Sus scrofa: one gene and its partners. The protein of the gene in region 1 binds, or shares a complex with, the protein of each later gene. Links are inferred from orthologs where the notes say so. Each region holds a gene or a part of one and is shown in the gene's direction. Other genes may lie near its edges. The genes, in order: TMEM231, TMEM216, TMEM107, TMEM67 and TMEM17.

What was found.
Region 2: TMEM231 (region 1) and TMEM216 share a complex: the UniProt entries of both Homo sapiens proteins name them as parts of the tectonic-like complex. The link is inferred for Sus scrofa from reciprocal best matches to the Homo sapiens genes TMEM231 and TMEM216.
Region 3: TMEM231 (region 1) and TMEM107 share a complex: the UniProt entries of both Homo sapiens proteins name them as parts of the tectonic-like complex. The link is inferred for Sus scrofa from reciprocal best matches to the Homo sapiens genes TMEM231 and TMEM107.
Region 4: TMEM231 (region 1) and TMEM67 share a complex: the UniProt entries of both Homo sapiens proteins name them as parts of the tectonic-like complex. The link is inferred for Sus scrofa from reciprocal best matches to the Homo sapiens genes TMEM231 and TMEM67.
Region 5: TMEM231 (region 1) and TMEM17 share a complex: the UniProt entries of both Homo sapiens proteins name them as parts of the tectonic-like complex. The link is inferred for Sus scrofa from reciprocal best matches to the Homo sapiens genes TMEM231 and TMEM17.

The regions. Positions count from the first base shown.
Region 1 is NC_010448.4:12,138,210-12,144,386, forward strand, and holds the start of TMEM231 (transmembrane protein 231), read left to right. Parts: upstream 1-2,107; 5' UTR 2,108-2,477; coding exon 2,478-2,978; intron 2,979-6,177. UniProt on the Homo sapiens protein: Transmembrane component of the tectonic-like complex, a complex localized at the transition zone of primary cilia and acting as a barrier that prevents diffusion of transmembrane proteins between the cilia and plasma membranes.
Region 2 is NC_010444.4:10,118,680-10,124,896, reverse strand, and holds the start of TMEM216 (transmembrane protein 216), read left to right. Parts: upstream 1-2,636; 5' UTR 2,637-3,259; coding exon 3,260-3,296; exon of another isoform or gene 3,297-3,310; intron 3,311-3,952; coding exon 3,953-4,054; intron 4,055-4,630; exon of another isoform or gene 4,631-4,736; intron 4,737-4,855; coding exon 4,856-4,948; intron 4,949-6,217. UniProt on the Homo sapiens protein: Part of the tectonic-like complex which is required for tissue-specific ciliogenesis and may regulate ciliary membrane composition.
Region 3 is NC_010454.4:53,393,681-53,399,860, reverse strand, and holds TMEM107 (transmembrane protein 107), read left to right. Parts: upstream 1-2,796; 5' UTR 2,797-2,940; coding exon 2,941-3,027; intron 3,028-3,196; coding exon 3,197-3,264; intron 3,265-3,366; coding exon 3,367-3,467; intron 3,468-4,216; coding exon 4,217-4,313; intron 4,314-4,537; coding exon 4,538-4,607; 3' UTR 4,608-5,361; downstream 5,362-6,180. UniProt on the Homo sapiens protein: Plays a role in cilia formation and embryonic patterning. Requires for normal Sonic hedgehog (Shh) signaling in the neural tube and acts in combination with GLI2 and GLI3 to pattern ventral and intermediate neuronal cell types.
Region 4 is NC_010446.5:42,919,787-42,925,275, reverse strand, and holds part of TMEM67 (meckelin), read left to right. Parts: intron 1-899; coding exon 900-999; intron 1,000-2,511; coding exon 2,512-2,581; intron 2,582-2,674; coding exon 2,675-2,749; intron 2,750-5,489. UniProt on the Homo sapiens protein: Required for ciliary structure and function. Part of the tectonic-like complex which is required for tissue-specific ciliogenesis and may regulate ciliary membrane composition.
Region 5 is NC_010445.4:79,413,858-79,419,823, forward strand, and holds the start of TMEM17 (transmembrane protein 17), read left to right. Parts: upstream 1-1,909; 5' UTR 1,910-1,965; coding exon 1,966-2,065; intron 2,066-5,966. UniProt on the Homo sapiens protein: Transmembrane component of the tectonic-like complex, a complex localized at the transition zone of primary cilia and acting as a barrier that prevents diffusion of transmembrane proteins between the cilia and plasma membranes.

The DNA.
Region 1 (6,177 bases):
CACCACAGCCACAGCAATATTGGATCCAAGCCATGCCTGCGACCTACACCACAGCTCATAGCAACCCCGGATCCTTGACTCACTGAGCGAGGCCAGGGATCAAACCTGTGTCCTCATGGATACTAGTCGGGTTCATAACCGCTGAGCCACGATGGGAACTCCCTAAATTTTTAAATTTTGTGGCGGCACCCATGGCCTGGGGAAGTTCCCGGGCCAGGGACTGAACCTACCCCAAAACTCTAACCAATGATACAGCAGTGACAACTGCCAGATCCTTAACCCACTGAGCCACAAAGGAACGCCTCTAAATTTTATTTTAATGGTTATATAAATGAAAGACATTCGCTTAAAGCACAGATACAATAGGTCAGAATCGCAACATAGATTTAAGCCTATCAATTTTTTACAGCTGTGTTGCTACCTCAGAAAAGCTTTAAAGCAAGAATATATAGTACGGGACCAGATATGTCAGAAACATCTTATGGCTGCTGACATTGTCAGCTTGGACTCTGGATAGTTCTCGCATAAGGGAGGTCTTGACCTCTCTCTGTGTTGTTAGGATCTCAGCTGTTTTCCTCATCTACAACCCACTTCTAGGTTATGGTAACTAGACTTCTCATGGTGATCGTTTTTAAATGTATAGGTATACTTGAGTTCCCCTTGTGGCTCAGGGCCCTCAGCCTGGGAACTTCCATGTGCCGCAAGTGCGGCACTAAAAGGACCAAAAAAAAAAAAAAAAAAAAAAAAAAAAAGAAATGTGTAGAAATACTTCATACTGTGAAACAGGAACTAATAGGGTTGTAGGTCACTTATACTTCCAAAAATAAACAAACTCATTAAAAAAAGAGATCAGATTTGTGGCTACCAGAATCAGGGTGGAGGGAAGAGGGGATTGGATGAAAAGAAGGTACAAACTTGCAGTTACAAGATAAGTACTAGGGATATAAGGTACAACATGATAAATATAATTAACACTGCACTGGGTTACATATGAAAGAAAGAGAATAAATCCTAAGAGATCTTATTATAAGGAAAAATATTTTCTATTTAATTTTCTATATGAGGTGAAGGGTTCACTAAACTTATTGTAATCATTTTATGATGTATGTAAGTCAAATCATTATGTTGTACACCTTAAACTTATATGGTGCTGTATGTCAGTTATATCCCAATGAAACTAGAAGACAAAAGCACTTCTAGGTTGGTTTTGAAATAGGAGCGTCTACTGCTGGACTCCATTCTGATAACAAACCTCACACTATCTCTTGGCACTGACATTTGATTCTTCGGGTCCTTTTGATAAAGAAGTTGGCTGTTGAACGTGTTAAAAAAAAATCCTGGGAGTTCCCATTGTGGTCCAGTGGAAACGAATCAGACTGGTATCCATGAGGATCCATTTGATCCCTGGCCTCCCTCAGTGGGTTAGGGATCTGGTGTTGCCATGACCTATGGTGTAAGTTGCAGACATGGCTTGGATCCTGCATTGCCATGCCTGTGGCATAAGCTGGCAGCTGTAGGTCCAATTTGACCCCTAACCTGGGAACCTCCATATGCCATGGGTATGGCCCTTAAAAAAAAAAAGATCCTTCTGCCTTGTTTGAAATACTAGGGAGAGCTTTTAATGAAGTGACACACCAAGGTTAACTTTGCAGAGGGCCAGAGCTTCCCCAAAACAGGTCGTCAAGCCTGTGCTCAACTATAACATAGTATAGTAGAGCTATATAGTAATTATCCTTATCCCTTGAAGAGCAGGGTGCTTTGTGACCTGTTTCGGTGTCTGTCTTGCTATGGACTAGTGAAAGCATTAGAAAATTTGGAGACAGGGGTTCCTGCCCTGGCTCAGTGGTAAGGGACCTGACTAGCATCCATGAGGATGTGGATTGGATCACTAGCCTCGCTCAGTGGGTTAAGGAACTGGCATTGCCATGGCCTGTGGTGTAGGTCACAGACGCAGCTCAGAACCTGTGTTGCTGGAACTGTGCTGTAGGCGGCAGTTGCAGCTCTTATTTGACCCCTAGCCCGGGAACTTCCATATGCCTGCGGATGCGGCCCTAAAAACAAACAAACAAATAAATAAATAAAAGTGAAAAGAAAGAAAGAAAAAAGGTACATTTGGATACAAAGGAGTGACCAGGTCCAGGACCACACTGTTTTCCTCCAATGTAAGGTGTGCCGTTACTGGACTCAGTGTACAGTGAACCACATTGGGGATTAACAGATGACACTTATGCAGGTATTTACTTTAATATTTATGAAAATCTAATTTGACACAAATGTTAACAAGGGCGATGCTAAGATTTGGGGGCACGGAACATTCCATTTCTGCTCAGCTTATAGGAAAGGGCGCCTAACGCTTAAAGCTAGGACTACGATCCACCAGTGGGTACCGCCCCCCGTTAGCCCCACCCCCACCAAAGCCAGCTTCCTTGCTATTGGTTCCTTTCCCCGCGCCTGCGGTTGCCGTGGAGACCAAGGCTATGGCAACCAGGAGAAGCCAAAGTTGGTCGAGTCTCTGGAACCGCGGAGGGGTCCGGGACGCGCAGCCCGACTCCGACCTGTGCTCATGGCGCTCCACGAACTCTTTTCTCACCCGGTGGAGCGCGGCTACCGCGCGGGGCTCTGCTCCAAGGCCGCGCTGTTCCTGCTGCTGGCCACCGCCCTCACGTACATCCCACCGCTGCTGGTGGCCTTCCGGAGCCACGGTGAGCCTGCCTGAAGGCCAGTGCGCGACAGGATTCTCCCCGGTGCTCCCGCCGGCCTCCCTAACCTCTTCCCCTCTGCCTCCTGCCCTCTTTACCTCAGGGTTTTGGCTGAAACGGAGTAGCTACGAGGAGCAGCCGACCGTACGCTTCCAGCACCAAGTGCTGCTCGTGGCCTTGCTGGGACCTGAGCACGCGCACGGCGGATTCCTGGCCTGGAGCACGTTCCCTGCCTTCAACCGACTGCAGGGGGATCACCTGCGCGTCCCGCTCGTTTCGGTGCGTGGTTCTGGGCGGGTGTATGGATGGAGATGGGGATAGGGGCATGCGTGGGAGGAAGCTGGGCGGTCCGGGTCCTTGTCCCTGGGGGCCCTGCTTGGGTCTGAAGGAGTTACGAATCCACAGAAGTTGTGTGTACAGGCTCATTGGCCTAAGCTTATATTTAATTTCCTGGGGAGTAAATATTTTGTAATATTCGAATTCTCCAAGCCGTCCACCACCCCCGAGAAAATTAGTCACTGCTGTCAGGGTGTGTGTCCCACACAGAGACTGATAGCCTGCGGACAGCCTGTCTCTGGCCCCCATTTCCGTGGGCGTGGCCTGATGGAAGCGTGGTCGCGAAAGTTGCTGAGTCGTGAAAGCCAGTTGACGTTCTCTCTCTCTTTTTTTTTTTTTTTTTTTTTTTGGTTTTTCTGTTTTTTTTTTTTTTTTAGGGCCGCACCCGCAGCATATGGAGGTTCCCAGGTTAGGGGTCTAATCAGAGCTGTAGCCGCCAGCCCAAGCCAGGGCCAGAGCAAAGAGGCATCTGAGACGCGTCTGCGACCTACACCACAGCTCATGGCAACGCCAGGTCCCGGATCCGTAACCCTGTGCGGGAGGTCAGGAATTGAACCTGCGTCCTCACGGATGCTAGTCAGACTTGTTAAGCGCTGAGCCATGACGCGAATGTCTAATGCTCTCTTTAATTACTCGTTCTTGCAGCTGGCTTGTGCTTCAGCAAGCAGTAGCAACAAAAAGGGCGGGTATTTTTAGGCAGACTGACATGTGGAAGCAGAGGCGCTGATTGGTTAAGTGACCTCCCCAGACTGTTGCTGGCCCAGTCCAGCCTCCCTGGGCTTGCCTCCTGAGATGCTGCTGCATCCTGCCGCCGTCTGGGGGTGAAAACGAAGTTTTTTACTGCCTGTAATCTAGTGTCTGATTCGAGGTAAGTGAATGCTTCCTTTATAGTCACCCACCCCTTTACGCTCATTTTCAGGAGACATTTTCCTTTGAAAGTAGGAAAATTCTGGATTTTCTTCTTTCAAAGTTGGATCTCTTTAGACACCTCTGAGATGATTGGCCTACAGCCAAATTGGTGTAGCTGAAAAAAAAAAAATAAGATTTTTCCCAGCAACTTAATAAAATGAAAAAAAAAGTAATCTGACTGTTCATATGAATAACCACAAGCAAAATAGGATTCAGATTTTTTATGAATATTTAACTTTCCTTACCTTTTTTATGATTATGAATTCTCCTTGTAAATTATTAAAGAGTTACAGGTATATATAATGACATAAAATTAAAGACCCAGTTTGGCACATATATCAGTATTTGTGTATAATTCATTTATTTCTCATCTCTCCCCTGCTAGACCTAATTCCATGTGGGTAGACTCAGTATGTCTAGAATTGCATGTCTCATTTTTTTTTTTGGACCACACCTGGGACATATGGAAGTTCCCAGGCTGGGGGTTGAATTGGAGCTTCAACTGCCAGCCTGTGGCACAGCAGAGCAGGATCCAAGCCACATCAGCCACATCTGTGACCTACCTCACAGCTCATGGCAACTCGGGATCTTTAACCCACTGAGTGAGGCCAGGAATCAAACCCACATCCTCATGGATACTATCAGGCTCATCACCACTGAGCCACAATAGGAACTTCCCATGTATCAATATTTGTTAATCAAACTTCTTTTTAAGGTCTGCAAAGTAATCGATACAGAAAGTGGTAATGGATTTAACCAGTTTCCTGTTGGTGGATATTTGATTTGCTTTTACTTTTAAACATCACATTGTGAGAAATTGGAATAGAAACTGTATGTTGAAATTGTAAAAGTACACAGAAAACTACGCAAGCAAATAAAAAACACAGTAAGGAGGAGTTCCCATCGTGGCTCAGTGGTTTACGAATCTGACTGGGAACCGTGAGGTTTCGGGTTCCATCCCTGGCCTTGCTTAGTGGGTTAAGGATCCGGCGTGGCCGTGAGCTGTGGTGTAGGTTGCAGACGCGGCTCGGATCCCACGTTGCTGTGGCTCTGGCATAGGTCGGCAGCTACAGCTCCCATTGGACCCCTAGCCTGGGAACCTCCATATGCCACAGGTGCGGCTCTAGAAAAGACAAAAAAAAAAAATTTGCTCAACCTAAAAGTTGAGAGTTCTGTTTTATATTCAGTAGACAAAACTGAGGACTTAAGCCCAGGAGACCGCTTCTCTGGTAACCCTGAGAAAACCCACTCTAAGGAAAGGAGGGGAGCTGGGATACATAGGAGTTTTGCAGCAAAGGGCACACAGATTACTGTTAATAAAAGAAAACCAGGGCGTTCCCGTCATGGCTCAGTGGAAACGAATCTGACTGGCATCCATGTGGACCAGGTTTGATCCCTGGCCTCGATCAGTGGGTTAAGGATTCGTTGTTGCCATGAGCTGTGGTGTAGGTCACAGACAGCTCGGCTCTGGTGTGGCTGTGGCTGTGGTGTAGACCAGCAGCTACAGCTCCGATTTCACCCCTAGCCTGGGAGCCTCCATATGGGAGTACAGCACCCCCCCCCAAAAAAAAACTAGATATCTCAAGAAATTTAGCACATTTCTTTGTATTGGGAAGATGGAAGAGTCAGGGCTCAGTGAAACCATTCCTCTGTTGGGCACCTCAGCTCTCTGGCTTTTCACCTCCTGAGGGCTCGCCATCCGGTGTGGCTGCAGCCTGATGGCTGTTCGAAGGCAGGTATTCTTAGCTTCCTTCCTGAGTTCCCTCAGGGCTCCCCTTCAGAGGTGACTGCAATCTCTGTGACATCCTTTGTTTACTGATAAGGCAGGCAGGCAATATTTCATTTCTCAGTTTTATTCACCTGTTCATCTTCCACAACCGGTTGGCTTCCCAGCGGTACTGCTAGTTAGCCTCTTATCTCGGTAAACAGAAACCACTCCCTCAGGATCACTGCCCACCAACCCCCAGCTTCTGGTGTGTGTGTGTGTCTTGCGATTTTATAAAGCCAAAACTACCTCCTGTTTTTATGGTGGCCAGAACTATCAGTGCTCTTTAACACTGGGTAATTCTACATTTTAAAACATAAAACCAGGAGTTCCCGTCGTGGCTCAGTGGAAACAAATCTGACTAGGAACCATGAGGTTGGCGTTGCTGATCTGGCGTTGCTGTGGCTGTGGTGTAGGCCGATCCGACCCCTAGCCTGGGAACCTCCATATCCCACGAGTACAGCCCTG
Region 2 (6,217 bases), on another chromosome or scaffold:
GTACCTTAGAAAACTATACATAGAACTACCATATGAGCCAGCAGTCCCACTCTTGGGCAATTATCCAGACAAAACTTTCTTGGAAAAAGACATATACACCTGCATGTTCATTGCAGCACTATTCACAATAGGCAAGACATGGAAACCACCCAAATGTCCATTAACAGATGATTGGATTAGGAATATGTGGTATATATGCATAGTGGAATACTACTCAGCCACAAAAAAGAACGACATAATGCCATTTGCAGCAAGCAACATTGATAGAACTAGAGACTCTCATCCTGAGTGAAGTAAGTCAAAAAGAGAAAGACAAATACCATATGATATCACAAATGAACCCTTCCACTCATGGACTTGGAGAATAGATGTGTGGTTGCTGAGGGGGAGGGAGCGGGATGGATTGGGAACTTGGGGTTAATAGATGCAGACTATTGCCTTTGGAATGGACAAGCAATCATATCCTGCTGTGCAGCACTGGGAACTATGTCTAATCACTTATGATGGAGCATGATAATGTGAGAAAAAAGAATCTATACATGTATGTGTAACTGGGTCACCCTACTATACAGTAGAAAATTGACAGAAATTCACAGAACACTGTAAGCCAACTATAATGAAAAAAATAAAAAAATAAATAAATAAATATATATATATATATATATATATATATATCAGCAAAAGATGCACATGCCACCAGGAAGGACCCTGAGTCAGTAGAAATATGGGCACAAACAAGATAGTTGGCTAGAGACAACACCCCACTCCTGACAACTTGGAGCACTGGCCCCCCATAAAAGCTATAGAAGCCACTCTTATTGTACACAGCTCTTTCTGTAAGCTCACCCCTGTGTGCTCTTTCACATGTACTGTGCTTTTTTTTAATTGGCCACACTTGTGGTGTGCATTGAACCTGAGCCACAGTAGTGACAGGCCAGGGATTGAACTTGAGCCACAGCAGTGACAACACTGTATCTTTAACCCACTGAGCTACCAGGGAATGCCACACATACTGTACTTTATTTTTGCTTTTTTAGGGCTACACCTGAGGCATATAAAAGTTCCCAGGCTAGGAGCTGAATCAGAGCCACAGCTGCCGACCTACGCCACAGCCACAGCAACTCAGGATCCAAGCCTTGTCTCTGACCTACACTGCAGCTCACGGTGATGCCGGATCTCCAACCCACTGAGCAAGGCTAGGAATGGAAGCACATCCTCATGGATAAAAGTCAAATTCGTTTCAGCTATGCCACAACAGGAACTCTCCATACTGTGCTTTTAATAAACTGCACCTGCTTCACGGTCTTGGTCACCTTGCTGAATTCTTCCCCCAAGGAAGATAAGAACCAAGGTCTCTCACTGCCGAACTCAAGCTCATTGTGTTACTCATAGGCCCTGGGTACCAGGGAACCAGGATGCCACAATGATGCTCCTGTGTTTGTTATTTCAATCTTATTGCCTATTTTTAGCACCGATGGGAGCTACTCCTTGCTGTCTATGACAGGAGTCAGCAAAATTTTACTTAAAGGGCCAGATTGTAAATATTTAAGCCTGTGAGCCATATAGTCCTAACAAGTGATGCAACGACTCAGCCTGAAAGCATGAAAGCCTATTACATGAAAGCAGATGTATTTCATGGATGTGGCTGTGTCCCCCCCAAAAAAACTGGAAGAAACAGGTCTTCAGATAGGTGTTTTGGGGAGAAGACTTTATGAACCCAATCCTGGCATCTCCTCATATCTAGAAAAGCGCTAAAATCCTTCATGGTGATGCCTGCTCCTCATGACTAGCGGGAAACTTCACCAAAGGAGAGTAACTTTCTGCTAAATTGTACCACCCCTTTCACCAAAATCACATATATACTGGCATTGCCCCCACTTTTTTGGAGCATTTTTTTTTCCAGAGCTATCTGAAATGCTGCCTCCCAGGCTATAGTCCTCACTTTGACGGCCCAAAAATTTAACTCACAATTCTCACATTGCGCATTTTTTAAAAGTCTACAAGTGTGACATCTTTTTCCTGTCCTACCCTTCCTGACAGTGGGCTAACCCCTATGTCACCCTGAGTCCATTCAAACCCCTTCTTCCTGTGATGGAACATGATGGAGGAAAATGTAAGAAAAAGAATGTATGTATATGTGTAACTGGGTCACTTTACTGTACAGCAGAAATTGACAGAACATTGTATCAACTACAATAAACAAAATTTTAAAAAAGCAAAAAACAACCCTTCTTCCTAGTCCCCTGCCCTGTGGGGTAACACATTTTTACTGCTCCAAATCATAACAAGTTTCAAAGCCCAGTTTACAGGCCATGTCTTGGAAACGTCTCCCAACCCCTACCGAGAGTACTTTGTCTTCTCAACTGCCACTGCACATTGGGGTCAAGTGCTGATTATATTTCATCTTTTGCTCTTATTTATGCTCCTTGAAAGGAGCCTCCAGTTCCGACTAACTTTGGTACCTTCTTCTTCTTCTTTTTATTTTTTTTATTTTGTTTGTCTTTTTAGTTTTTAGGGCCGCAGCCGTGGCACATGGATGTTCCCAGGCTGGGGGTCGAATTGAAGCTGTAGCTGCCAGTCTATGCCACAGCAACCTGGGATCCTGGCCACGTCTGCAACCTACACCACAGTTAACCACAGCGCTGGATCCTTAACCCACTGAGCAAGGCCAAGGATCCAACTTGCATCCTCATAGATACCAGTCAGGTTCCTTTCCGCTGAGCCACAAGGGAAACTCCAACTTTGGTATCTTCTAACTCCCTGGTACATAAATCAGATGCATAGAAAAACCCTACCCCCGCATCCCCTCCCCTCAGAAAAAGACTGTTTACACAAAGGATCCCCAAACTCCACGCCGCATTTGCAGCGCACTGTCGCGCACACTATTTCTCATTTTAAGACCCATGTTAGTAAAGAAACCATGGGACCAGGGCCTATTCACCAACTCTGATCACATTACCACTACTGGCTGCTTCGAACAATTCCTGGTAAATTTGGGATGGGGGCGGGGCGAAAACTGCCCCGCCCTCGGAGTCCTGCAGACGACATCATCTGCTTTCTTATCAGTCCTCTGCCAAAACCCCAGCGAAGTCGGTTCGCGGCCCGCGCTCCTCCCGGCGCAGGCGTGGCCGTCACAAGAGTGCCCCCGGCCCCAGGTAACCATCGAGTGCAGCAGGCGGATAGAAGGGCCCGAATCCAGGGCCGCTCCGTCCCTCGCTTCCGGCAACGCCTCGCTGCTCCAGGAGTGCTGTAGCCGCGTATGCAGTTTCCATGGGGACTGAAGATGGCGCCGCGAGGTGAGGTTCTGGAGGTGTGTGAGTTGCTGGTCCTGATCCCTTCAGTTTCCCCCCCCACCCCGCCCTCCTCTCCCAGCGTCGACCTGAACCCTCCATTCTCCTCACTTGTCCACAGCAGGGTTTAGCAGCCTCACCTACCCTGAGTGCCAGAAGGTCTCGAGATGTGGGTCTCAAATACCCCCAAATCCTTGGCTCAGCCTGTTCTAGGCCGGCTCAATAGGAATTTGCAGCGTGGCTTCACACTGGCCAGTGCTGTCTCTGGGTCCCAGTTTTCCTTCCTAAATAGCGACGAGGTTAGATCCCTGACTTTCACCCCCAAAGCCGAAGCGGTAGAGTTTGATGGCGATTCTGGAAAGGAGGAGATTGAAGGAAACACACACACACACTCACTCCTCATCAGCAAACAGAAGTGCCCCCAGGGACCCTTTCTGTCAGCTGAAACCCCTCCACACTCCGTACGCACACGCGCGTGCACACACACACACACACACACCACACAGACACCTTCTCATCAACAATCAGAAGTGCCGCCAGTGGCCCTTTCCACCAGCTGCGGCCTCCTGTTTCCTCCAAGTTAGACACAGAACCATTCAAATAACTGGGGTTGAGCTGCCTGCCCTCCAGCCCGTCTCTTTTCTCTGTGCTCCTATTTTCAGGTAAACGGTTATCTTCCACCCCCCTGGAAATCCTCTTCTTTCTGAACGGGTGGTATTATGCTACCTATTTCCTGCTGGAACTCTTCATATTTCTGTATAAAGGTAAGGTCTGGGGTTTAACTACCCTTTCCCCAACATCCCTTCCCCACTTCAGCCCAGAGCCAGCTCCCACCCAAAGCCTTATTTTTTCATTCTTTTCTGCTCCCCTGCAGCTCTTCTTCACTGCAAGGTCTCTTCATCAGATGGCTTCCTTGAGAATGATTCAGTAGGAAGCCACTCAGCAAGAATTTCTTGAGTTTGGGAAATGGGGGCTTCTCCCTTCTGACTCTCCCCTGTCACCTCTCTTTGCTGAACTCCACTTTAAGCCCATTGGTGACCCTCAGAAGCTATTCAGCGCCGTATATCCGTGTACATCTGATCTGATAACTGGAGAGTGGCGTCCCCACAGAATCTTTTTTTTTTTTAAGGTTTTATTGAAGTATAGTGATTGCAACTATAAATTGATTTGCAATGTTGCGATAATTTCTGCTGTACAACAGAGTGATTCATTTACACATATCCACATCTCCATTCCTTTCCAGATTCTTTTCCCATGTAGGTTATCACAGAATACTGAGTAGAGTTCCCTGTGCTATAAATAGCAGGTCCCCACTGACCACCCATCCATTCCATATGCAGTAGAGCCCCACAGACTCTTGGAGTTAGGAGTAAAAGCCCATAATTACGAGCCTGCCTCTAACAGACATAGCCGCACCATGAGTTAACGGATCCTGCCCGTATCTCAGTAAGTAGCTCATGGGAAGAGAACATGATAAGACTCATGTTCTCTTTATTCCCAAGTGAGTGGGAGACCTTGTGTGTGCTGTTCGACGTTGTTTGCAAACTCTGGCTTTTGTATCGCAGGTCTCCTGCTACCATATCCAACAGCCAATCTGGTCCTGGATGTGGTGATGCTCTTCCTTTATCTTGGCATTGAAGCAATTCGACTGTTTTTTGGTGAGTGTTGTCCAGAGGCTATTTCCATTCCTTGCGAGATGAGCTGGTATCTGTAACTTGATGAACAAAGAAAAGCACTTAACCTTGGCTCACAATGAGAGAGTGGATCTGGTGGCATATCCCGTTACACCCTCTCTGAAGTTTCAGGCGGCTTCATACTTGGGGTCAAGACTTACCTGTCTATTGCTCTGTTGCGCCACAGGTGGGTGGCGGCATGAGATATTAGATCATTCCTTCCCGATTATCTAACTACAGGAGTGCCTGGTTCCTCTCACTGGTTTCTTGGGAGAAGAGATTTCGTTGTAACTCCATGTCCAGGGCAGTAGATCAGCAATAAGGTCCCCTCCGGTTCTCTGAAAAAGGATTTCTCTAGGACAAGTTTACATCCCCGGAGGTACAGAGCAATCCCTCATGAGTTACCTCATCCCTGAAAACGGTGTTAAAACATACACTGAGGGAAAAAAATAACTTCAACAAAAAGAGGTTCACATAAAGAACTAAGAAAAAGATAACCTCGTTTTAAAAATTAGCAAGGGAGGAGTTCCCTTTGTGGCTCAGCAGGTTAAGAACCCAACTAGTATCCATGAGGATACGGGCTCAATTCCCGGCCCCGCTCAGTGGGTTAAGGATCCAGTGTTGCCGTGAGCTGTGGTGTAGGTCGCAGACATGGCTCAGATCCTGTGTGGCTGTGGCTGTGGCTGGTAGCTGCAGCTTCTCCATTTCAGCCCCTAGCCTGGGGACCTCCATATGCCGTGGGTGTGGCCCTAAAAAAAAGTGCACTGGGAGTTTCTGTTGTGGCTCAATGGCAATGTGCCTGACTAGTATCCATGAGGTTGTGGGTTCGATCCCTGCTCTTGCTCAGTGGGTTAAGGATCTGGTGTTGCCGTGAGCTGTGGTGTGGGTCGCAGACGTGGCTCAGATCCCGCATTGCTATGGCTCTGGTGTAGGCCAGAGGCTACAGCTCCCTAGCTGCGAAACTCCATATGCAGCGGGATCGGCCCAAGAAATGGCAAAAAAAAAGAAGAATCACAAAGGACCAGTAAACATTATAAAATGCCCAAACTCACTAATAAAAAGCAAATTGGAAAAACAAGGTGACATTTTTACCCATCAGATTAAAAAGATTTCCAAATACCCAGAATTCAAATGCCTGTTTGAGGAACAAGTCTCTGTTCCTGCACTCATGTGGGTATTTATATCCCATTTATTTATGGGATATAAATATAAATAAGTGCAGCCTTTTGGCTAATAGTTTTTTTGTTTGTTTGT
Region 3 (6,180 bases), on another chromosome or scaffold:
CGATCATACATTCAATCACTCGTGTCAAATTTGTCCCATCTCTTTAGTTTCCCTTAATCTGGGAGAGTTCTTCGGTCTTTGTCTTTCAATGACTTTGAGGAAATATCTTTTGACTATCTCTTTGTCTTCTAAGTTTTTTCACCGAGACTGGTTTATGTATTTACTATTGACAGAGTTGATTTACAGTGTTGTGTTATTTCCAGGTGTGCAGAAAAGTGATTCAGTTGTACATATATAACTGATTTCTTTTTCAGATTCTTTTCCCTTGTAGGTTATTACAAAATATTGGATATACTTCCTTGTGCTATACAGTAGGTCCTTGGTTATCTATTACATATACAGTAATTATGTATATGTTAATCCCAAACTCCCAATTTATGCCTCCACCCCTCACCCACTGGTTTAGTAGAAGGAAATCCCTTTATTTCACAGAGAGAAAAGCATTTCCTCGCATTCCTGACCACATTACCTAAAACAAAGTTTAAGAAAAAACAACCCCTTTTCTTCTTCATTTCCCCCCTCTTTTAGGGCCAAAGCCGCAGCATATGGAGGTTCCCAGGCTAGGGGTCGAACTGGAGCTATAGCTGCTGCCCTACACCACAGCCACAGCAACGTGAGATCCAAGCCACATCTGGTACCTACACCACACCCACTGAGCAAGGCCAGGCATCGAACCCACATCCTCATGGATACTATTCAGGTTCCTTTCTGCTTCACCACAATGGGAACTCCCCCAAACGACCCATTTTCAAAGACATTTTCCTTGACCACATTATTCTAATATTTCCCTTTAAATATTTTTTCTTTATGGTGCTATTATCATGCAGATTCATTATTTGTTTTCATATTTCATGTCAGTCTCTCTGACCCCCACAAAGGTAGAGACTTCTGTCTGTTTCTCAAGTACAAGAGCCCAGCACAGTGCCTGGGACTTACTAGCTGGTCAATGAGTATTTGTTGAATGAATGAAGAAATAAAAAATGCCTCTTGGGCTTGTCGTTTAAATCAGCCTAGAAGCATAAGATGGAGAGTATTGATAAAATTGATAAAATAAGTTGTCACACATTGAGATCTAGGGAAGACATTCTGGCTGACACATGAGTTAACCTGAATTTTATGCTAACTAAAATAGCCTCTTTGGGAGGTCCCCGTGGTGGCTCAGTGGTTAATGAACCCGACTAGTATCCATGAGGACAGTGGATACAATCCCTGGCTTCGCTCAGTGGGTTAAGGATCCAGCGTTGTCTGTGGCCTGTGGTGTCGGTTGCAGATGCGGCTCGGATCCTGTGTGGCTGTGGCGCAGCTCAGATTCAATCCTTAGCCTGGGAACTTTCATATGCCGCAGGTGCGGCCCTAAAAAGACACACACACACACACACACACACACACACACACACACACACACACACACACGAAAGCCTATTTGTGGCCTGTCAAACATTCCACATCTGCTTTAATTGTTATAGAAACAGGCACAGGAACCAGAAGAAAAGAATACCCATTGTTAAAAATAATGTGCCCTCTTCCTGGGGTGCCAGTGCTGGCACTCCCTGGATGATAAGACTCCCTTCCCAGGTGCCAAGGACATACTAACTCACTGCGTAGGTGCTGGCCTGTTCTTTTTTTTTTTTTTTCAATCTTGAAGAATTGCAGCCCCGACTTGTTTAATATTCTTTGTTCTGACAGGATATAATACAGTGCTGGAAATCATGCATCTTCTGAGCAGTTTCTAAGAGTGATATGGGAAGCAGATTCAGGGCTACTCAGTAGTTTGGCTCAAATGAAATTTTCTTCAATTCTTATTTTAGATCCTTTATTGATTATTATCATTGGCAACGGGAAGAAGAGCGATGATCCGGTAAGAGGGTAGGGAGGTCCCTGTGAGGTTGTGCATATGAGAAATGAACTCCGGCCAGAACTTTCCGTTCTGCCTGGAACCCTTTTGAGGCCCAAAGGTCAGGGAGGTCGCTGATAGTGAGAGATGCTTGGATAGTAGCTGGGCAAAGTCAAGTGCCCACGCCTCAAAGAGATAAGGAAATCCTTGCAGAGTCTGCATCGACACCCTCGCTCCTGGCCTCCCGGGGACGCAAGGTCTCATTCCCTGCCTCCACCCCCATCCCCAGCCCTTTCTGGTCCTCTTTGTTCCCTCTCTTCCCCAAACACACTTCTTGGGGCACACCCTAGTCCAAGAGAGCGGGCCACTTTCCGCGATGTGCAAATCCCTCACCAGTCTGAGCAAAGGTGTCTGGGGCGTGAGGGAGGGGGAACTAGAATCAACGAAGGTGCAGGTATGGGGTCCTCCAACGACCAGGGGCTCTGGGACAACAAGTGGCAGCCGGACAACATAGGCACATCCACCTCTCCACGTTCGGCCCAGGGCACGTGGGAGCTAAAGGAATGCGGAGGAGGGAAGGAGAGAGAGCATCCAGGCCTCAGGCACAGACAGCCGTGTCCGGAGGTTCATCCGGGACAACGCAGCAGGGGTTGGGGGTCGGGCTGCACCCGGCGTGGGCATCCGGAGAAGGGGGGGGTCCCAGGCTAGGCCCGGAGGGTTTCCGTTCGCCGGCGCTGCGCGGGCAGACTGGACGATGCAGGGCAGCGCCACCGCACACTCGGTGCTGACCGCTCGGCTGCTAGTGACCAGGCAACGGATAATCGGCCTCCCGCCGGAATCAAGTACGACGCAACCTGACTTGCAGTCCCGCGACGGCACGCAGCTGCTTGACAGTTTAATGCTCTCGCGAGATTTTCAGAGATCCGGTCGCAGCACCAGCTACCGCAGTTACCAAGGCAACTGGGCGGTGCCAGCGCGAGCGGGAAGGAGGCGAACGTCGAATTTTTGTCTGCTAGCCTAGGAGACTTGAGGACTGGCCCTCCCCGAGTTTCCAGCCCTAGAAACCCCGGCCTCTGCTCCAGGCAGTACCCCGTCCCCTGGGGGCCATGAGCCGGGTCTCGGGGCTCGTGCCCTCTCGCTTCCTGACGCTCCTGGCGCATCTGGTGGTCGTCATCACCTTATTCTGGTCCAGGGTAAGACCCACGGCCCCGCTCCGTTAGTCCACGCTCCCACCTTGGAGTGGTCCTGGCCCCACTCTACGCCTCTCCCCGGGGGCTTACCCGGTCGGGTGCTCCCCCCCCCGCCCCCACCCCGCCACCGCCGCCCCTCTCTCAACTTCTTTCTTTCTGCCCTGCTCCTCAGGACAGCAACATCCAGGCCTGCCTGCCTCTCACGTTCACCCCTGAGGAGTATGAGAAGCAGGATATTCAGTGAGCACCTGGGGCAGGGTGGTCAGAATTAAGCAGTCGTGGAAGTGAAGGGGTCTTAGAAAAAGTTCAAGAGGCCTAAGCCCACACCCTTCCTTTCTGCAGGCTGGTGGCAGCGCTTTCTGTCACCCTGGGCCTCTTTGCAGTGGAGCTGGTCGGTTTCTTCTCAGGAGTTTCCATGTTCAACAGCACCCAGAGCCTCATCTGTATCCTTTCTTCCGTGCACCTTTCCTGCACCGGCCATTTTCATCACAGCTCCTCTCCGCCACCTAACTAGGCCTTTCTGGTACATTGGTGTTTGTTCTAGTAGGCAAACAGAGTCCCTCCAGTTGAGAAATCTTCTTAGGCACTGTGGGAGATTTAATACAATCTTTGGGCATCTGTTAAGCTCCTGCTATACATCAGTCACTGGAGATCTCAAAATGGGAGTAAAACACAATTTTCTACCTTGAGGAAGAGTTAGACACAGACAGACATCTGTAATTCCGTGTGATAAGCACTGTGCCACGGGATGTGTAAAGATATGAAGCTTGTGGGGACACAGACGAGACAGAGGACGTGAGGGAGATGGATTAGGGAAGGCTTTGGTACTTGAATTGTGGTCAGGGAGGACCAGGGTGCTGGAAAGTGATTCCAGCAGAGAGTAAAAGGTCACAGAGTGCTTGGAACAGATGGGGAGGCTACTACCTCACCTGAACGGTCCAGGCTAGATATGGGGTGGGGGTTGCTTAAGGTCCCAGCTGTGCAGACTCAGCTCCTCTACTCACATGGCTGCCCTAAAACTCAGGATTCAGGGCTGCTGGCTCTGGCCTTTGCAGTGTGGTAAGAGGAGCAAGAGGTGCCCCGCTTCCTAGGATGTAAACCTGAATGTAGATGCCAGCCCCCAAACCGGCCTTTTCTGACCCATTACTACCTATTGATCCAAAGGATTTCCTTGACTCTAGTGTGTTCCAAGCCATTGGGGCTCACTGTAGTGCATCTGTGGCCCTGTCCTTTTTCATATTTGAGCGTTGGGAATGCACCACGTACTGGTACATTTTTGTCTTCTGCAGGTACGGTAGCACCCAATGTTTGGGCATGGGAAAGCAACATTAACTCTAAATCTGAAGATTTCCCTCACCCAGCTCTTTACTCCATGTATAAAATATCAGATCCACTCAACATCCTTTTTTGAAGTCCCCTCCCTCCTACATTTGGGGGTGGTATCTCTGGCTTGGGGATTTGGATTTTTTTATTGGATGAAGGGGACCCCGAAACCACCACCTATCTTCCGCAGTGCCCTCCCAGCCGTCACTGAAATAGCGTTATTCATCAGCGTCTTTGGGCTGAAAAAGAAACCTTTCTGATACCTTCATGACCGGAAGTACGGATGAAGGCTGGAAGAGCGAGGGATCGCTCACCGTTCCTGGAAGAAGGAAGTCAGAGGCTCCAGCTCTTCCTCCAAAACTGCGTCATGGAGGGTATCAGTGTAATAGTAATTATCTCTCGAGTCTGAAATTATGTGTGCTTTGCTTATAGTTCTTTGTAATAAATATATTTTTAGAATATGATCGACTTATAAAAATTTCAGATGAAAATTGGGGTGGCCAAAGTGATGGCTGTTTTCTAGGCCTGCGGACTGTAAAATAGTATATTCGCTTTTATTTTGGTTATTACGGTAGAAGTCTGGCGGGAGGGTGGGCGGGGATATGTAAATAAGGCGGTACTTACGGGTGGGACACCCGGCTGGTAAGTGAGTGGAGCATTCTGGGAGGAATTAGCTTATCCATTTTTGATAGCCAAATGGAAAAACTTATTTTAAAACATTTGGAAATAAATGTACCAAAATATACAGAAGAACCCAAGTAGGCTTAGTTGCTCGGACCAACGCAGTGTTTACTCATCCTATCTTTGAGAGGAATCTTTTTCCCAGAGTGCGGAATGTCACGCTAAACGTTCTTATCGTCAGGTAGGATAATCCTTACCTGTTCCTCCTTCGGGAGGGCAGAATGGAAAATGATGATTGGAGCTCGCATGATTCGTGATTAACGGCTCTGCGTAATCAGGACTTGCAACACCCTGATTGCTCCTATCTGATTCTTCCTGACGATCAGCGCTTTTTATCAGAGTCTTCACGGTTAGAAAGCTGTTGTTGTAGGGAAGACGTTGTACTTCCTATTTCTTGCTAGTACTTTCTTTTCAATTGTGGCTCTTGTCGCGGATGTTAGTGTAGTGCTAACTCCTCAAATCCCTTCTGCCGCGGAGCAGGCTTCCTTTTTAGTCTCAATGGCTGCAGTTTCCACCGGAAGGTTGGTCCAGGTTCTGAATCCACTCAGTAGTCTGCAGGGAACTCCCTGCTGCTGCTGCCTGGGAGGTGGTGATGACAACACGTTCAAGAGAATGCTGCTTCGCATTATATACACAGACTGCAGGAGTCTGAAGGTCGGTGTTAAAGCATGTGTATTCTCAGGGTCATGTTTAGATTCATTACTGAGTGGAATGGTGGAGCCCAGCCATCCCTGGAGATGCTTTCTGGTGATGCCTACACACAGATAATTTTATCCTAGCTCTCTGTCCCTTCTGGCAGCCTTTCATTCTTACTATCACTCAAAAAACAAAACCAAGCAAAAAACAAAAACTGAGCAATTCCTATATGCAGAGCGCTGTAGTACTGAGGGAATAAATGTGAATATGCTCGGTACTCGCCTTGGCCCTCACAGATGCATGATAGATATGGCTCATGGAGGCAGACAAGAGACAATTTCTAGTATTCTCAGAGTAATTTAATAGCGAATTATGATAAATGCTATAAAGGCGACTATGGAGGCTATGGAGTAGGGATTAATTTGCCCAAAGTGGTACAAGTGTTGCTTCTCCAGGAGCAATTTGAGTGAGGTCGTGGAGTGTGCCTGAAGCAGATGGGCAGGGGGGGTGGACATT
Region 4 (5,489 bases), on another chromosome or scaffold:
ACATGTCCATTGTAACCACAGGACAAATAAATGGTATTTTTATGTAAATATTCCAAAAATAATGTTCTGCAGCATACTTTTTTCAGTTAACAATATGATCTGTTAGATCTGCCTCATTCTTTTTATATCTGCTCCATAGTATGTCATTAGCATTTTCTATTTAGATCATTTTCTAACAAATATTGTTTTGTTGTTGTTGTTATTTTTTGCTTTATTTTTATGCTGTGGCCGCACTCACAGCATATGGAAGTTCCAAGGCTAGGGATCTAATCGGAGCTACAGCTGCTGGCCTGTACCACAGCCACAGTAACACATGAGCCGAGCCATGTCTGTGACCTATACCACAGCTAATGGCAATGCTGGATCCTTAACCCCCTGAGCGAGGCCAGGGATCAAACCTGCATCCTCATGGTTACTAGTCGGATTCATTTCCACTGAGCCACAACAGGAACTCCTAACAAATATTGTTTTGATGAATATTCTTATACACATGTACAAGTGTTTCTGTAGGTTAGGTATCTGAAAATGAAATAATTTGAGTAGATACTACCAAAAGCCTTTTAAGTTGTGAAAGACATCAGCAGTCTATGTCAATATTTGTTTCCCCATACCCAGTACAACAAGAACATGTAGGTAAGATGTAAGAAATTTTCTGAGAAAAATATATTAACTTATGATGATGATGATGATTTGGAAATTAGTTTCTGTATTTTTCATGTGGTAATGGGGAGGGCTTCACTTTTCGATAATTTATTATAATAGAAGGTGCTTGACCTGTCTTTTATGCAAATAAGGCATTATGGGAAGTTTTAGAATAATATTACAGGTGGGTTTTACTAAGTGTATAGAAGCTTATATGTTGATTATGAATTATATCTTGTTGTTTCTAAATTGTTTAGTGGAAAGAGATGTTAATGGAACATTGTTGTCCCAAGCAACTTGTAAGCTCTGTGATGACAGTGAGAACTCTTTTACGGTAGCAAATGCTTTAGGAACCAGGTAAGCAGTGTGCTGGGTGCTAACTTCATTAATATCATCTTATATTTATGTAGAGTCTTGCCTTCCCAATCATATTTCTTGCTCCTTGCAATAACCCAAGGAAAGATAGAAGTAGATATTAACAGGTAAAGAAGCTTAGGCCCAGAGAATGAGAGAAAATAGGATTTAAATTTTGTTTTAGTCTCTCTTTGGTTGTTTGACCTTCACTGGGCAAGTCAGTCTCCTTGTCTTTAATATGGGGATATACCACCTACTTCTTAGGCTGTTATCACAGCTCAGAAATAAATACCTAAGGGTCTTAGCTAAGTACTGCAGAGTAAGCGCTCAGTAAAAGATACTATTTTTGTTTGTCATTAGGTATTTTGTACATAATCTATAATCTAATATATAGTATATGATAGTAACATTTATTTGCAGTATACTTACTGTATACTGGGTACTATATATATTGTATTTCATAAAAATACATTAATGAATGTAGTGATAATTACCATATCCAGGTACCCTGATTTATAGCCCTGTTCTCTATCATTTCCTGTTCCTGTTTATGCATGCATCCTGTGCACCATATACACACCCCTCCATCTCTAACTTAACCACATTATTCCTATTCCAAATTCTTCAATTTTTTTAGAAGCCTACATGCTGACCTTCCTCTAAGCACTGTTTTCTCTTCAATTCCCAAATTTAAGATAGAAAATACTAGAGAAGCTTCTCCTGGGGATACTTAGTGTTGATCATCTTTTCTCCCTGGCTGACCTAAGTTGCAGCATCCTAACACAGCCTACTGGGCTGACCCCTTTTTCTTCCCCTCTTAGACCTCCCCAAGCCTAGTTTGAGCTACGTACTATGCCCCAGCCTCCTCTCATACCTGTCCTATCTTGCAGGTAATGAATACCCATAGAAACCCATCAGGATCCATGCTCATCCAACGCCTTCTCTCCCTCTATATCATTTATTAATGAACAATATTTTTTCCTAAAATAAGTAAAGTCAATGAAAAACTTTTAAAGTGTTGATTATGGGCTTGATGAGGGGATAGATACATGTGTCTTTTTAGCATATATTACCTTTTTGCTTTGTGGCAGAGAAATAATTAAAGTATATTTGATATAACTACTTATAAAAATGGATTGGGTTTCATTATGTGAGTTTGTTGGGTTCTTTTGTTAATTGAGTGACTTAGCCATCTTTTCTATTCAGTGTTATTTGTTTTCTATTATGTGTGGTTTCAGAAAACTATTCCCCTATCATTGGTTGATTTTATTTTTTTATACCTTGGTTTGTAATACAAAGAACAGTATAAAACTATTCAAATCAGTGTTCATACTTTTAATATGCAATAAAACTTTAAAAAATGAAAAAATACTTTAATATGTTTACTTTATTAAAACTATTTGCTTAGTGGAATGAACCTATTCACACCTAGTGTTCAGGAAGACAAATTCTTGATTAGATTAGGGCTACTGTAATTCATTAATATTTTCAAAACTATTTTTGTTGTATCGACAGGTGTGTCCGATGTGAACCAACATTCATTAATACCAGCAGGTCCTGTGCATGTTCAGAGCCTAACATTTTAGTAAGGCTGATCAAATTTATAATGTATATATTTTTAAATTAAATTGCTTATACTCTTCCATTAACTTTTTTTCCCTCTTATTTATTTATGAAGACAGGAGAATTATGTTTCAGCAGCACAGGGAATTTTCCCCCACATATGATTTCAACTGCACGTTATGGAGAGCTTGTGAGTATACTTCAGTTTTTTTGTTCTGTTGTTAAGGATCTTTCTGCATTTCTTCCTTTGGTCCTTAATTTGGGGTAAAATGAGAAACATTTGTGTAAATCACTTTAAAGCAGCAGTTATCAGTCAATAAGAAACATTAGACTAACAACTCAGCATTATAATTTATTCGTTACTTATACGTCTTCTCTCCCTTAGCTTGTTTCTTTTTCAGTGAATCACAGAATGTTTAAGCTGGAAAGATTCTTTATAGATCCTATAAAGAGTGCAGCTTAATACAGTTAAGAGCACCAAAGACTCTAGATTTGAACCCTGGATTTCCTGTCATTAGTTTTATATCTTTAGGCTTTCTAAACTTCAGTTCTGTTATTTGTAAATTGGGAATAATAATAACCTACCTCACAGTGTCTGCACATGGTAGTCACGGGAGATTTGAGGATTATTTTTATCTGGCAAGGTTCCTTATTTATAGTTCTGCTGCGAGCCACAAAGGAAGTCCATGGTTCCTTATTTATTGATGAGAGTACAAGGGCATAGATTTAGAGCTTTTGCAGCAGAAGCCAGTGATGACACGGTCTGGGATGTACAATGGGAAGTGCATGAACTGGAACTGAAGAGGTCACCAAGTCAATAGAATAGAAGTTAGATGATTAACTAGAGGTTAGTTAATGAGCAGAAAATGAGAGTAACTAGGAGAGCTGTAAGGATAGCCTTGATGAGGGTAAAATCTGGGATCCTCATGAATAAAGCAAAAATTCCTCTTTGCTGTAGTCTTGTGGCCTAACTGGCAAGTACCAGGTATTTGCAGAGCAGCAACAACAAAAAAATGCCAAAATAGGTGTATAGATAGGGAGCATGAGATCATATCCAAAAATTAGCTCATCTGTAATAAGATGCATGTCTTTGGGGACATTCTTCTCCAGTCTTGGGTTATAGTGATTCCTCCCATTATCCAATTAGCAGGCCTTTAATTTTCACTTTTTCCTTTTTCAAATTTAGTTAATTTTGCCAAAAATTCCCACAATGTCTCTTTTTCATATTTGGTCTCAGATTACTAATCAATTGGAGGTCATGTCCCTTTCATTTTCCTTCCTCTGGAACGGGTCCTCAGTATTTTCTTGCCTTCCTTGAGCTTGACAGTTTGAAAGATTTCAGGCTTTAAATCCAGAGCGAAATCCTCAACCTGGGTCCATCTGGTCTTTCTTCATAGTCAGGTCATGCTTGGCAGGAAACCACAAAAAAGGTGTGCTGTTCTCAGTACATTGTGTCACATCAGGGTGCACATGATGCCTACCTGTCCCTGTCCCACTGCTGGTGATGTTAACCTTGATCCCCTGCCATAAACTCACCATGTGCACTGTAAAGTTACCATTTTCCCTTTGTGATTGGTTCATATTTTTGAGAAGCGTTTCCAAAGTTACACTTCTTCACTAAACCTTAATAGCTTTAGTCTCCACTGATGACACTTCCCTTTATCAGCTGCTACTGTGATGGTTGCCAAATGTTTCTACCATTCCTTCCACATTATTATTATTATTATTATTTTTGTCTTTTTGCCATTTCTTGGGCTGCTTCCACAGCATATGGAGGTTCCCAGGCTAGGGGTCGAATCGGAGCTGTAGCCGCCAGCCTACGCCAGAGCCACAGCAATGCAGGATCCGAGCCATGTCTGCAACCTACACCACAGCTCACTGCAATGCCAGATCCTTAACCCACTGAACAAGGCCAGGGATCAAACCCGCAACCTCATGGTTCTAGTCAGATTCGTTAACTACTGAGCCATGACGGGAACTCCCTCCTTCCACATTATTAACATTCAACTCTAAGGAAGAATTTCCCCTTCTCATTTATATATTTATTTGTTCATTAAGAACAGTGTGGGTTCCTATTTTGTTCATTTTTTAATAGTCCAATATATGTATTTCTTGTTTTGATGCTCAAATTGTCCTAGATTTGGCCATTAGAAGCCCTTTTGAGTTGGTTCCTATATCTTTTTGACATATCCCCATCATTCTTTGAGCATTTCCTTACTTGTACTTTTCCTGCTTCAGCCCCAGAATCAGCTGTTTCTCTACGAAGCTCTTAAAAATAGTATTCAGAAAGCATAGTTACCATGCTTAGTGTGCCCTTTTTAGCAGACATAGCTGGAAATGTATATACACACATTATGTATGTACATACACACATGTATATAACTGTTTCTCGTGTATCTGTTAAATGAGTTCAGGGAGTTCCCACTGTGGCAGAGTGGGTTAAGGATCTGTCATTCCTTGTAGCGGTGGCATAGGTCACAACTGTGCCTCAGATTTGATTCCTGGCCAGGAACTGCCATATGCCTCAGGCGTGGCTGAAAGAAGAAAAAAAATAAAAATAAAATAAAATAAATGAATCCATACTGATATTTTCAACTCCAAAGCAATACCTCAGAGTTTGTGTTAGCCTTTCCTTTTGACAGTGGTGAGACTTGACAGTACCTTCTCTCATAGTGAGAACTCTGGGTCTCATCCTCAATTTCTCATCTTGCTATAACCCAACCGTCTTTCATACCATCCCCCACCTCCTCCATCCCCTGTACTACTATGGGAGTAGATCTGTTGCAGGCTTCTCTGCTAGGAAGGGAAAGTAGGCAGGGAAAGGCTATTCCAGTCTTAAAGTTAGTCTGACTCGATTAATGTATTTCATTTAAACATGCCAGTCTTTTTTTTTTTTTAGGGCCATGCCTGAGGCATATGGAGGTTCCGAG
Region 5 (5,966 bases), on another chromosome or scaffold:
ATGGAAAACAAGGACTGATGACAGATTTGGAGCAACAGAAATGTTCGTACATTACTGGAGGTAGTAGAAATTGGTACCACCACGTTGGAAAACTGTTGGCAAGATCTTTTAAAGTTGGGTCATACCTCATAAGCCAGCAATTTCATTCCTAGAGATAAGTTCAACAAAAATACATACATATGTTCACAAAAAGACATATATTCACCAAAAGCGGCACTATGCACAATAGCTCCAAACTAGAAAATACACAGATGCTCATCAACAGTAGATTGCACAAACTTACTGTGGTGTGGTCACACCGCAAGGAAAGAGGGCAAAAAGTCAGCTTTTATTTTTTTTTTCTTTTTTTAAAGCACTTGCTGTATGATTACTTTTATATAAAGAATAAAAATAGGCAAAACTATTCTATGGTATTAGAAGTCAGGAAAGGTTAGTTAGAAGTGGAGGGTTAGTGACTGCAAGGAAATAGGAAGGGAGAGCTTCTGAGGGTACTGGTAAAGTTAAGTTTCTTTTTTTTTTTTTCTTTTTCTTTGCTTTTTAGGGCCACACCCATGGCATATGGAGGCTCCCAGGCTAGGAGTCCAATCCGAGCTACAGCTGAAGGCCTATGCCACAGCAACACAGGATCCAAGCCGCATCTGCAACCAACACCACAGCTCAAGGCAACACCAGATCCTAAGCAAGGCCAGGAATTGAACCCGCAACCTCGTGGTTCCTAGTGGGATTTGTTTCCACTGTGCCACAACTGAAACTCCAAAGTTACATTTCTTGATCTGGGTTCTTGTTACACCTGTATATTCAGTTTGTACACTTTTCTGTACATAATTGTACCTAACCAGTTTGTCTGTTTGTTTGTTTGTCTGTCTGTCTGAAACGATACATCTTATTTGAGGGAAAGCTAGAAAAATACTAAGTGGTTAAATTTTTTTTTCTTTTTATAGCAACACCTGTGACATATGGAAGTTTCCTGGCTAGGGGTCTAATTGGAGCTGCAGCTGCAGGCCTATGCCACAGCAACTCCGGATCTCTAACCAACCAAGGCCAGGGTCCCAACCCACATCCTCACAGAGACTATGTTGGGTTCTTAAACCCCCGAGCCACAACAGGAATTCCTATTTTAAATTTTTTAAATCACCCACAATCACTATCTAGACATTACTACTAACATTTTGGATTATTTTCTTCTAGTCTTCTTTTGAAGCCACAGTGCTTGTGCCATCTTCTCCCCCTCTCTGCTCCCCATATATTTACACACACACATTTTACTAAATTAGGTTCATTCCTACTTAGTTTTACTTCTGGTTTTTTTTAATTTAAAGTTAACCCATCATTAAATATTCATTGCAAACATGCTTTTAAACTGCTTCAATGTATTTCACCCAATATATATGTGTATCGTATATATATGCTATGTATATATATATAATATTCCTAATATATAACGTATTCCTATAAGAGAGTATGTATGTGTATACATACATATGTGTCTGTATACATACGGCATGCATATATTAAAAAATATTCCTAGGATGTAATAATATCACACACACACACACACACACACACACACACACACACACACACAAGCTACTGGGTCATGAACAGTCTGTTAACTCAGCATTCATTCTATATTTTCTCCCAGAAAGATTGTATCCCACTGGCAAGGTCTTAGAGCTCCTTGTATCACAATCCAACTCTAGTCACTAATTATTATTTTTATTCCTTTTTTAAAATGGTGGCCGTTAAAGCAGGACTTAGGAATCTGCGGTTTGGCATCATGCTGAGGCGCTGGGCAGGAACTGGCTCCCTGCACTCCTCTATCTTCCAGGGCTGCCTGGCGCCTCAGCCCGCAGCGGGGCCGCGCGTGCGCCCCAGCCCCCAGCCTCGCGCGGCCCGGTTGCTGTGGGAACCTCAAAGCGCCACGGTGCCCGAAGACCCAGGTGGGAGCAGTACTGAGGCCTGAGCATGGAGCTGCCGGATCCGGTCCGCCAGCGGCTGGGAAACTTCAGCCGGACCGTGTTCAGCGACTCCAACCGGACCGGGCCGGAGTATAGCGAGGGTCCGGGTGAGTGGCCGAGGCTCAGCGCAGCGCGTGGAGCGGCCAGATTTTGCCCAGACCAAAGATGGCGGTTTCGTCTTCAGAGAGTTCACCGCAGTGCGGGAGGCTCCTTGGAGGAGGGGCTGGGCCTGGGGCTGGGGCTAGGACCAGATATTCGGGGCCAAATACCCAGGCGGTCTTCGGCTGATGGTGCTGTAGCCTCGCGGGCGAATTGCAAGAGGGGCGGCCGACGTGGCGCCAGCCTTCCTCAAAAAATACAAGAACAAAACCCGCCTTCGCATTCCGCGTCCAGTCCCGCGCCCTCCGAGAAGGCTGAGAAGGCCGACTTTGCTTTTCCTCTGCGGCATCCGCCCTGGCATATTATGTCCAGGATGGAGTGAAAACAGCCCAGGCAATCTCCCCGTCCCACCCCACCCCCAACCCCAGTAAAATATCTTTTCCTTTTTTTCTTTTCTACCAGAACAAGTATGTTCCACCACAAGTCCGTTTTCTGGCAGAAAGCATGAAAAGTTTTTGTTTTTGTTTTAATGAACTATTTTAAACGCTATCCAATTCAGAGTGGCAGCTGCCACACTAGCATCGTCTCCAACAAAACTCACCCTCTCCCTGCTTTCTTCTCCTTCCCTATATATAACTCTTGCCCTAAATCAAGTAACAGAATACCATGATGCTACATTCAACATGACAAGTGACAACGCAGTTTCCTGCAGTTTCCCCCTCTTAAATCATGATGATAGACAACATACTGTGAACCAAACCCGTGCGCTTTTTATCACTGAACTGTGCTGGGAAATAGAAATCTTTTCCTTTTGCTTGGTTTAGGGATTTTTTTTTTTTTTTTTTTTTTTTTTTTAAGGAGGCAGAGAGAAGTCTGTTCCCATAGTTTCATTTTCCACGCTGATTACTAGCCTGTCCCTCCAATTTAAGCCTCCATGATTTAGGATGTACAGAGAAAAACATAATGTGAAAAAAAAATTGACTTTTACATTTCTGATTCTAAAGCTTAACAGGCACTAAAATCTGATGATGTAAAGTATCAGGGGTTTTCTGTAAAGGGCCAGATAGTAAATATTTGAGACCTTGCAGGCCATAGATGCATGTAGCAGCCATAGATGATGGTAATTGAATGGACTTGGCAGTGTTCCAATAAAACTTTATTTATGGATGCTAAAATTTGAATTTCCTATGATTTTCAGTGTCGCAAAATATTATTCTTTGATATTTTTTCTCAGCCATTTAAAAATGTGAAAAAACCATTTTTAGCTCACTTGCTATACAAAAACAGGCAGCTGGCTGGTAGTCTGCCTACCCCTGATTTATACTATAAAATGTTTTAATTTAAATTCCATTTATAGAACTCAACTTGTACTTTTGCAAAATTTAGTAAATTCATGTCTTGTGCTTGCTTTCAAAGTTCATTTACATATTAACTTGATTTTCAACTGCATGATTATAAGTTTGATCTCTGAAATATAGACATAGCATAACTCTTAAGAGGCTTGTGTACAAAATTCTTAACATAATAACTTCTTTGCAAAATTTGACTACAGTGTTTGCTCTAAAGTTATTAAAATTTTCAGCTTAACTAATTTATCATATTTTTCCACATTTTCCTCTTTGTGGATCTGAAATAGGTTCGATTATTTGTACTGTAAATACAAGGGTATATTATGACCTTGTCCACAGCTGACCAAGAGTTGTATGGTTGTTATGAAAAAAAATCCTAGGCAGGTGAGTTATCTTCAGATTTAACAGATTTTAAGAATGCATGCCTTGATCAGTGGCAATTTAATCAATAAGTACAAGCAAAAGTAGATCATAATCACACAATGTTTAAAAAGTAGATCATAATAACGAGGGATATTCTTGGAGCTAAAGAAAACCTTGCTATGAGAGACTGTGATTATTTTACATTTTAAAATTGTTAAATGATAGATATAAAATACTCAGCTATAGAGAAAAATAAAAATATACTTTTAAGAAATTTTAGAGCCTTCAGCAGTTAACGAACCCAACTAGGGTCCATGAGGATGCGGGTTCTATCCCTGGCCTCGCTCAGTGGATTAAGGATCTAGTGTTGCCATGAGCTGTGGGGTAGGTCCCAGACTCGATCAGATCCCGAGTTGCTGTGTCTGTGGTGTAGGCCAGTGGCTATAGCTCCGATTTGATCCCTAGCATGAGAACTTCCTATGGCAGCCCTAAAAAAAAAAAAAAAAAAATTTAGTCTTTGTAAATCCATTCTTTTAGAACTGTGGATTTCAAAGTATGTTATCTGTTCTTAAATTGTTAGAATTTTTAGTCAAATTTAGGATGCATTTGTAGGGCTCATTTGTTTCTAATTTATAAAGTCTTTTTATATTTTTTCCTTTTTAAAAAAACAAAGGATAGTTGATTTAGAGTGTTGTGCCAAATTTCTGCTGTATAGCAAAGTGACCCAGTCATATATATATATATACACATATATATAAATATATATACATATATACACACACACACACACACACACACACATTCCTTTTCATATCTTCCATCATGGTCTATCCCTAGAGACCAGATATATTTCCCTGTGCAATACAGTAGGACCTCATTGCTTATCCATTAAAAATCCAATGTACTATCAGTTGTGCCACAGAGCTGCCTTGTAGGGGGGCTCAATTTTAAAAATCAAATTCTTGGAGTTTCCATTGTGGCACAGTGGAAACGAATCCCACTAGGAACTATGATGTTATGGGTTCAATCCCTGGCCTTGCTCAGTGGGTTAAGGATCTGGAGTTGTTGTGAGCTGTGATGTAGGTCACAGATGCTGCTCGGATCTGGCGTCGCTGTGGTGTAGACTGGCAGCTGCAGCTATAATCAACTTTAGATAAATGAAACTCATTCATGTATCATGAATGGCTGTACTGCTAATGTCCTTAATTCTTTCTACTTATTTGTATTTGGTCTTTACCTTGTGTAAAGCAAGATGCTATGTTCTGTGAGGGTCTCAAATTTGAGTATATTGTGGTCTGTGGTTACAGTGAGTTTGTGTATAAGTCAACAAAGAGAAGGAATTAGGAGACTAATATTTATTGAGTGCCTACTGAGGGCCAGGCAGGGTTCTATAGTGAAGTAATTTCTATTATCTTTAATCCTCACAAACAACCTGTGAGGTGATTTTAATATTACCATTTTACAGATAAAGAAATTAAGGCTCAAAGAGTCCTAAAATGGCATCCAGAGTTCTGAGGGCATTTGGGGAGTTCTGGGTTTACTTGGACTCCAAAGCCTCAGTATGCCTGAAAAAGGGTGAGTTTAATTATAACTTAGGGTGATTGGGGGTTTGTTTGCTTGTTTTTGTTTTGTTTTTTAGGGCCGCACCCGACACTTATGGAAGTTCCCAGGCTAGGGGTTGAATCAGAGCTGCAGCTGCTGGCCTACACCACAGCCACAACAATGGGGGATCCAAGCCAGGTCTGCCACCTACACCACAGCTCACGGCAACACTGGATCCTTAACCTGCTGAGCCATGATGGGAACTCCTAGGAGATAAGTTTTTGAGATTAGTTTATATATGAGTGTTTAGTTTTTATGTATTTTATGTGTTCATTTCATAGGCTCTCTACATAAAACTCTACAAAGTAGGTAATTATTATCTGTTCAGTAGGATTCATATTGGTATTCCACTTTTACCTTATACCAGTAGGTTGCAAAAAAAGTCATCCGACTATAATGGAAAATGATAAAGTAATTGGAAAATATCAGATATGCCCCCTAGTAGCCAACATAGGAACTAAACAGTATTATGATGACTCCTTTCGCTGTCAGTGATTATAACTAGGCTTAAAATTTTGATTTTTGTTGAGCTGATAGTATTGTTATTAATTCTAAGGAGCTAAAGGATTTATAGGGCATAGATCGGAATTAAGAG